2 linked regions of the Ovis aries genome follow. The protein of the gene in region 2 binds, or shares a complex with, the protein of the main gene of each other region. Links are inferred from orthologs where the notes say so. Each region holds a gene or a part of one and is shown on either strand. Other genes may lie near its edges. The genes, in order: ARL3 and CFAP36.

Region 1 (4,327 bases), on a different chromosome or scaffold from region 2:
GTGGGTTCTTACTTCATCAGAGTCTTAATGAAAAATACATTATGGGCTTTAGAGTTTCACAGACTTTTATTCAACATCCTGATGGGTAACCTCCAGCATAGTTTCATCTAGAAAATGGGAACAATACTTATATCTCAAGAAGAATGCTATGAAGATTAAATCAGATGATGTGTGAAGCATGCACATAGAGGGAACTCAAAACAGTTGTTGTGTTTATGTTTCTACTTTTCACCGACCATTTTTGACCAGAAAACATAATCTTGGGAACAATCTTCAAATGTCAAACATGCTTGATAAATATCACTAGCTTTATATATTCAGAAATTACTCCATAAATAATTCCTGAATGGAGGACTCATCTATTAAATAACAGTGATTGCTGCTGCTGCTGCTAAGTCGCTTCAGTCGTGTCCTACTCTGTGCGACCCCATAGACCGCAGCCCACCAGGCTCCCCCGTCCCTGGGATTCTCCAGGTAAGAACTCTGGAGTGGGTTGCCATTTCCTTCTCCAATGCATGAAGGTGAAAAGAGAAAGTGAAGTCGCTCAGTCGTGTCTGACTCTTAGCGACCCCATGGACTATAGCCTACCAGGCTCCTCTGTCCATGGGATTTTCCAGGCAAGAGTACTGGAGTGGGATGCCATTGCCTTCTCCTAACAGTGATTGCTGCTGTTGCTAAGTCGCTTCAGTCGTGTCCGACTCTGTGCGACCCCATAGATGGCAGCCCACCAGGCTCCTCCGTCCATGGGATTTTCCAGGCAAGAGTGATTAGTTATGCACAAAAATTACGGTCAATTTAGTATTTCACCAAGGACTTGGCATCCTAAGGTAGGGGTAAAATAGCTGAACTTCTAGGGGTTCAGAGAAATCAATAATGTGTTTTTGTTGCTGTATTCCAAATTTTAAAAGAATAAATATGTATTAGTCATAGCTGAAGGATTAAGACAATAAATAAACCTGGAACTCCTGAAGAGTTACTATGGGGACCCATGGGTATCAGATATGACATACTTAATCATACCACTGACCCTTTAAATTCCGTGTTCCACTTATCGAGTTCTAAAAATAGCTCATACTTTTGGAGATAGAAAAAAAGTGTATTTTGGAAACCAGATGAAGACTCCTGAATAATCTGCCCTAATTCCTTATTATTTATTGTAGGAAAAAAAATTAAAAAAAGAAAAACAAAATCTGTCTTGATCACTGAATACAACAGTTGTATACAATAGTGTTGTGTACACTGTCAATTTGTTGTATAAAGTGTCAATCTGTACCTGGAAACATAAACAGTGGTTAATTTATTGTGGCTTGTAATTATAAATTAAACAGTCATGAAATTACACAGTCCACTTCACTGATAAACAAACTGGGAAAAGTTAGCCCGCTCTCATGCGTTTCTCCTTTATGATGCCATGCCTTTCTCTGTTGGTTTGGCATGCCTTTTTCATTTCAATTCTAGTTATTTTCTGTGTAAATATTTATGTTTGTACTCATTTGTTGAGAAAAACTTAGCCTTTAAATGGACAGCTCATGTATAAACGATTAATAAAAAGCAAACATTTAAAAATCTGTTTAGCCTGAGGTTAATAAAACTGCAGTGTAGCAAGTGTTGAAATGTGATTGGCAACTTCAGATCCAATAATGCTACTTCTTTAACAATGTGACAATTTTAAATCAATTGAAATAAATTTTTCCTATCAAAATTTACTCACTGGATAATCTAACCAAATGTACATGTGTTTTTTTTTTTCCTTCTGGACATCTAGCTTTTTCTTACTTCATAAATCAATAGAAGTGGTTCAACAGTTCTAAAAGTCAAAAAGGGACTGGAGTTGGGACAGGGAAGGAACTGTAAGCTTGAGTGCTAGCTTTCTGCAGCTGGTAAATTTATCAGCCTGCTCCAAACGCTCCGAAATAAATTGTTTCTCCCACTAGTTTTAAAACCACTCAATTTCATTTTAATACCCTCCAATTAAGTGCAGAGAAATCAACAAGGAACAGTGTCAAGCGTCAAATACGTCACATAATTTACGTATTTGGGAAAGCTTTATTCTGGCCTGACAGAGACAAGGCTAGCCCCAAACTGATGGCCACTCTCCTTTTTTAATCTACTCCAAACTGAGACTAAGGCCTTTGCTTCTGGTGTGGTCATATGCAAAGGAAGGTGGCAACAGGTCCGAAGTAAATACTAAGGATCGGGCAGCAAATCTGTCTCCACCAACACGTATTGAACAGGAGACTGGCTATCACCAACAACCAGACCTTGCAGAACCCTCAGGAAATAAAAAACTCGGGACTGCAGAAGCGCGCCCGCCACTCAGACACCGAGACGGCTTAAAATACACCAGACATCCCTTCCAAGCGGCACCTCTTTGTGTCCGGGGATTTACACCCTTACCCCCCAGAGGCCCTCACACCGCGAGGAACAGGAGAGCTAGGCTACCATCTCCCCTGGTACCGCCAGCGCGACCTCAAAGACAGCAGCGCTGGCCCTTCTCCCCGCTTCTAGCCGGGCACTGGTGAACCCCACTCTCCTGCGGCACTGGGAGGCCGATTCCTTGGGAAGATTTAATCCTGCGTGCAGAAGCTGCTCTCCGCAGCTCCTCGGATCCGCCCTCATCCCAATCCCCAGAGTAATGATGGAGCCCTGGCTCCGTACCGCGACAACCCAGCACCCTTCCAGCCCCTTCCCCTAGTTTCGGACAGGTTGCAAGCTCCGCCTTCCTCCCCAGGCCCAGATTCTCTCCAGGGCCCACACTCGGGACTCCCTGCCGCCCCCCGAAACCAATCCAGGACCCGGACATCAGGCTGAGCGCCAGTCCGTTCCCTCCTGTCTTTAAGCGCAGTGCCCTGCCTTGGGCCAGGGGAAGGGAAGCAGGTGACCGACCAGCTCCGGAGGGACCCAGGCCCTCACACTCACCATCCTCCCGCCGAGTCCCTCCTCCTCCTCCTCCTGCCTCCCCCGTTACCAGGGGCAACTGCGACGGCGCCGCCCCCGACGTCCCCCGTACGCACGGCAGAGGAGCAAAGCAGCAGAACGGGGCGGGGTCCAGCTCCGCTTTCCCCAATGTGCGCAAGCGCGTCAATGTGCCCTCCCACTGCGCAGGCGGGCTGCTGGAGAGGCGGGAGAAGGCGGCGGGCTGCACAGACCTGGGGAATGGTGAAACCTCGCCCACGTGGCTGCCGGGGGCCACCCGGCTTGTGATTGGTCCAGAGGGAGGGCGTGCGGGCGGGGCGAGGGGAGGTTCCCGGGCGGAGGCCAGAAGTGCATCCTGGCTTGGCTGCCAAAGCGGGCTGCTTCTGGAAGCAGCTGTGTCAGTCTGTTTCTCCCGGGTCCAGGTAAGGATCTTGAGAGGACGCCTCCTGCAACATCTACCTGTGCCAGGTTTTATTCCCCAGATCCCAGGAGGGAGTTTGCATTTCTGTCTTGACTCTGCCCAGGCGAGGCTGCGGCGCGGGCTGGGCTTGCACCTGCCAAAGCCACGTGGCAAGAGAAGGAGCTACCTGTGGACCCCTTATGGCCTCCAGTACCTTCGTGTGCCAGGCTGAGGAGCGGGGGCGTCATGGGTTGCTCGCTCGTCTGCACACATCCGTGTTAGAATCCAGGCTGGAGGAGTCCTGGTGGTGGGAGGCTGCCTACCGGAGGGCAAGAAGCTGCCTGAGGACTGGCCGTGAGGGCTGGGATGAGGTGATCGCTTACGGGGGTGAAAGGTGTTTGGAATGGATGGTTTTGCTGAACTAAGTTGGCAGGGTCGGTGCGCCGTCTGCAGCCCTGAAGGAGGCAAAAATGGGCCTCCACTTCTAGACAAGAAAGAATGAGAGAGATTGTGGGTGCTATTTCCCACCCCTTCCCCATGCAGAGAAGAATTACCATATTTGTGCCAGCTCTTAGTCTAGACTCTGGAGACACAGCAGGGGGCTAAATCGGCCCTCATGGAAATCACATCCTTCCTAGTGAGATGGTTTTCATACAAGATTTCACTTCATTCTCACAGCCCTAGAAATTGATTATTTTAAGGGTTAGAGTGGGGACCTGAATCCAGTACTTTCTGACTCTTGAGGAATTATTATTTTTGGCTGCTCCATGCGTGGCATGTGGGGATCTTTGTTTCCCAAGCAGGGATCGAACCTGTGCCCTTGCAGTGGAAGCAGAGTCTTCACCACTGGAATGCCTGGAAAGTCCTTGGGCTTAGCTATTGTTAATAGTTTCCTCCAGGTTTTGGGCTTTGCTGCTTTTAAGACCAGCAGGTTTTCAGCCTAGTTAAGATCGTTGGAATGAAGGCAGATTTTCCCTGAATGGTTCTTAACATTTTATGCATTCAAGTAAA
Region 2 (4,596 bases):
CCAAAGCCTTTGACTGTGTGGATCACAATCAACTGTGGAAAATTCTGAAAGAAATGGGAATACCAGACCACCTGACCTGCCTCTTGAGAAACCTATATGCGGGTCAGGAAGCAACAGTTAGAACTGGACATGGAACAGACTGGTTCCAAATAGGAAAAGGAGTAGTCAAGATGTATGTTGTCACCCTGCTTATTTAACTTATATGCAGAGTACATCATGAGAAACGCTGGACTGGAAGAAGCACAAGCTGGAATCAAGATTGCTGGGAGAAATATCAAGAACCTCAGATATGCAGATGACACCACCCTTATGGCAGAAAGTGAAGAGGAACTAAAAGCCTCTTGATGAAAGTGAAGGAAGAGAGTGAAAAAGTTGGCTTAAAGCTCAACATCCAGAAAACGAAGATCATGGCATCTGGTCCCATCACTTCACGGGAAATAGATGGGGAAACAGTGGAAACAGTGTCAGACTTTATTTTGGGGGGCTCCAAAATCACTGCAGATGGTGACTGCAGCCATGAAATTAAAAGACGCTTACTCCTTGGAAGGAAAGTTATGACCAACCTAGAGAGCATATTCAAAAGCAGAGACATTACTTTGCCAACAAAGGTCCGTCTAGTCAAGGTTATGGTTTTTCCAGTAGTCATGTATGGATGTGAGAGTTGGACTGTGAAGAAGGCTGAGCAACGAAGAATTGATGCTTTTGAACTGTGGTGTTGGAGAAGACTCTTGAGAGTCCCTTGGACTGCAAGGAGATCCAACTAGTCCATTCTAAAGGAGATCAGCCCTGGGATTTCTTTGGAAGGAATGATGCTGAGGCTGAAACTCCAGTACTTTGGCCACCTCATGCGAAGAGTTGACTCACTGGAAAAGACTGATGTTGGGAGGGATTGGGGGCAGGAGGAGAAGGGGACGACAGAGGACGAGATGGCTGGATGGCATCACTGACTCGATGGACGTGAGTCTGAGTGAACTCCGGGAGTTGGTGATGGACAGGGAGGCCTGGCGTGCTGCGATTCATGGAGTCGCAAAGAGTCGGACACGACTGAGCGACTGAGCTGAACTGACTGACGCCGTAAAGACTCGCTGGCAGCTACGGGATGCAAACTGGCGCTGGGACAATCAGCAAATCTTACAGAAACTGCTTTCCTCGGGTTTGTATTTTCAAAAATCAACCTTTCAATTACAAACGTGTCTGGCTCAGCGGGTCGGAAAATGGTCGGGAGTGAGCGGTGGGGATACAACCGTGAACTGAAGCCTTTAAAACCTTCAGTCAGAGACCAGGTGAGGCGGGCCTTCGTGGCACCATTTCTTATCCTTGGTCCCACGGACTTCTCCCGTGAGAACATTGAGATTCCTTCCAGGATTTCCAGCCAATGGCTACAACAGCTCCGGGCCAATGAGATGAAGGCTATCTTTCGACTGGCTTCTACTCCTTCCCAGCCAATCGGAAACATTCTTCAAATGCCACTTTCTAAGCTGCGCAGGCTCTGAGGAAGCTGGCTTCACTTCCGGGCGGCTGGCGGAGGCGGCTCCTCTTGTTGCCATAGCGACCGTTTTACGTTAAGTGGTTTGTAGATTTTAGCCAGGTGACTGCGGAGACTGCTGGGGCACATCGTTTCCCTGTCCTCTCGGTTCCTTGCGGCCGAAAGGCCTTCTAGGATCCGGGGATCTGGCCTAGGCTTCCGCGGCGCCCCGCGGGGGCGGAATGGCTGCGGAAGAAGAGGATGAGGTGGAATGGGTGGTGGAGAGCATCGCGGGATTCCTGCGGGGCCCGGACTGGTCCATCCCCATCTTGGACTTCGTGGAGCAGAAATGTGAAGGTAAAATATGAATCTCGAATCGTCAGTCCTTGCTCACCTCTCTCACACCAACAGCCTCTCCACACACCGCCTCTCATCTCCTCGATCTCCCCTCCTGTCGACCAGGTTTAGAGCTTGATTTTTAGACTGTGTTGCTGTCACCGCGCCTGTCTTTTCCACGGTAATGAAAAGGGGGACGACATACCTCTCCCCGCTGGGCCCAAGCACGCATTCGAGAAACAGTAGACTTTAATGCTGTGTTGGGCCTCCCACTCCATCCTGCACCTTTCTGCCTTGGCCAGGTGACTGTGGGTTTCTTTCTTCATCAGCTTCCACAGTGACTTGGGAGGAGAGATGTCAGTTTGCTTCAGAGTTCCTTCTGATTCCAACTGTTGGCCAAAAAGTGGGTGGGCGAGGGATATGTGGTTACTCCGGTAGGCCTAGAGCAGGTAATCTCGGTGGCCTGTATTGCCCTTTTTGAGCTCTCTGTCTCGGTTATACCAAAAATGGAGGGTATCTTCCAACAAATGAGATATGAAGACGTGGCATAACGTTCCCTGTGAGGAAAGAGTACCTCCAGATTCTGGAGCTTTGCATTCAGTTCTTAGAGATAGTTTGGAGCCCATTTATGGAAAAGGAACCAGAAGCGATGTCATAAGAGTAATTTAAGGCTGTTGTCCTGGTTGTTTAGCTGGCCAAGACCTTAAGGGTAGTAATATCCATTAATCGTTCGAACGTCTGTCGTATGTTGGAGGGGTTAGACTTGTTTTTTTTAAGGTTCAGTGGGCTAGAGCTAGCGTCCGTGGGTACAAGCTAGAGGTAAACAAATTTCTGTGAAGGAAGTGCTTCATAACAGATAGTATCCTGGATAAATCGCCCGTCTCGGAAGGTAATGAGTTCCCTAGGCCTTAGCAGTGTTTTGAATGAATCTGATAGCACCTTAATGGAGTTATTACAGAGGGGAATTCAAATGTCAAATGGTTGGTTATCATGAATGATCTGTTAAGAGTCCTTTCAACCTTAAGTTTCCATGAATCTGGTAAAGATGAAATTTACTTTGACCACTGAATCTTTTCATTACATTCTCATTGCCATGAGCAACATTCAAATAGTATTTACTAGGTATTGTTCTCGCAGGTAATTTTTAAAAGAAGTTCAAAATAACTTTTATTTCTGCTCTATTAAAGAATTTAAAATGCTATTCTGAGACTGAGGAAGCATGTGGTGTTCTGATCTCCTTTAGGAGAAAAAAGAAATTATGTCACCGTTTGATTCCACTTATCCCACTGAACCTAAATGCTGAAATGGCAAAAAAAAAAAAAAAAAAATAAAATAAAAAATTTTTATTCCCACACTTTAAAAGTGGCTGCATCTCAGCTATAACACACCTGATTGTGTAATTTTATAGGGAAATAGTAATCTTCAGACTTGTAAACATGTAATGTAGTAATTTGGCTTCAAAATTATCTGAAAACAGGTTTATTAGCTGCTATATTGCATGTATGCCCAGTGCTATGTAGAAATAGATGCCACGAGAAATGGAAGTAACATTTCAGTGGCACTTGAAATAATAGTGTTTATATTTCACTGACTTTGTTTTGTTAATGAGGTATTCTTCACCTTAGGTAATTTAAAAATTAGTTTTATATAACTTTGTAAATATCAGCATTTATTTCAACATTTATTGAGTGTCTTTGAGCCAGAAGTTGAGGTTAGAAAAGTTAATAAAACAAATCTTTGTCCTTGAGAAGTTTATAATTTGGTGGGGAAGACAAGCAGGTAAATGGACTTTAAATATAGTGTGACCAGATGTTATTATAAAGGTGGACGTATGGTGCTGTGTATTCAAATAGTTCTGAGGAAGGAATCTGAATAGCCAAGGGAGTTGGGAGTGGGTAGCAGATCATGGCGGAGAAGGCAATGGCACCTCACTCTAGTGTTCTTGCCTGGAGAATCCCAGGGACAGGGGAGCCTGGTGGGCTGCTGTCTGTGGGGTCCCACAGAGTTGGATACCACTGAAGTGACTTAGCAGCAGCAGCAGCAGATCATGGAGAATGTGCCTCTTACAGTATTTTGAAGAATGGTTGGGAGAAGAGGTATTGGGTAAAGGCAAAGAGATCCAAGAAGGGCTTGAGCAAAGACCTGGGGCTTTGAAGCACCTTCTATGTTTTTACATTTGTCCACATTCCAAGTAATTGTGTCCTGTTATGAGGGCAAAGTTTGGGTTTTGGAGTGGTGGGAGATGAGACTTGGGATCCAATCTTGAAGAATTTTGTCTGGGATTCTAAATATTCTATACTTATTCGCTAGGCAAAGAACTGAAGAGTTTTAAATAGAAAATTACCAATGTTAGTTTTGTATTTTAGAAAGAATGGGGGAATTTTTTTTAGAGGTGGCTTATGGTTTACAGTTCATGAATTTGTCTTTTCCTTGATCACATTGTAGCTTTTTGAAGGAATATATATCTTTCTGATCTACATTGTTTCACACATATCATCATTGAGTAAACATTTGTTTTTATTCATTTTTGTTTCATTATTGATTTATATGTAATAAAGAAAGAGTCAGTTTCAGTAAAATTTGGATCAGCAAAATTCCAATATGGTAAAATAATCTGGAACCTGTTGTGAAAGGAATTATTTAGAAACTTACCAATAATGTTCCATTTAAAGTTTGTAAATAAATTGTTGCCTTGTATTATTGATTGAAAAGTGGCAAATTAATGCTCCTCTCCCATATGAAGTAGCTCTTAGGTACAGACAAAAACTTGTTTACAATTAATTATTATTATTTTT

What was found.
Region 1: the proteins of CFAP36 (region 2) and ARL3 are in contact, whole or in part, in a crystal structure (PDB 4ZI3), measured with the Mus musculus proteins. The link is inferred for Ovis aries from reciprocal best matches to the Homo sapiens genes CFAP36 and ARL3. Residues at the interface, in NP_080016.1 of Mus musculus: Glu44, Glu45, Ser46, Lys47, Leu48, Thr51, Glu52, Lys58, Val61, Glu62, Leu65, Glu76, Phe79, Gln80, Cys83, Thr84, Ala88, Lys89, Leu97, Val100, Leu101, Ala103, Glu104, Asp105, Phe106, Thr107, Ile108; in NP_062692.1 of Mus musculus: Leu3, Leu4, Ile6, Leu7, Arg8, Lys9, Leu10, Lys11, Ser12, Arg19, Lys35, Glu40, Pro47, Thr48, Gln49, Gly50, Phe51, Asn52, Ile53, Lys54, Trp66, Ile74, Tyr77, Ser80, Tyr81.

What each region holds. Positions count from the first base shown.
Region 1 is NC_056075.1:23,056,890-23,061,216, forward strand, and holds the start of ARL3 (ADP-ribosylation factor-like protein 3), read right to left. Parts: upstream 2,942-4,327; 5' UTR 2,923-2,941; coding exon 2,920-2,922; intron 1-2,919. UniProt on the Homo sapiens protein: Small GTP-binding protein which cycles between an inactive GDP-bound and an active GTP-bound form, and the rate of cycling is regulated by guanine nucleotide exchange factors (GEF) and GTPase-activating proteins (GAP).
Region 2 is NC_056056.1:68,550,659-68,555,254, reverse strand, and holds the start of CFAP36 (cilia- and flagella-associated protein 36), read left to right. Parts: upstream 1-1,564; 5' UTR 1,565-1,707; coding exon 1,708-1,822; intron 1,823-4,596. UniProt on the Homo sapiens protein: May act as an effector for ARL3.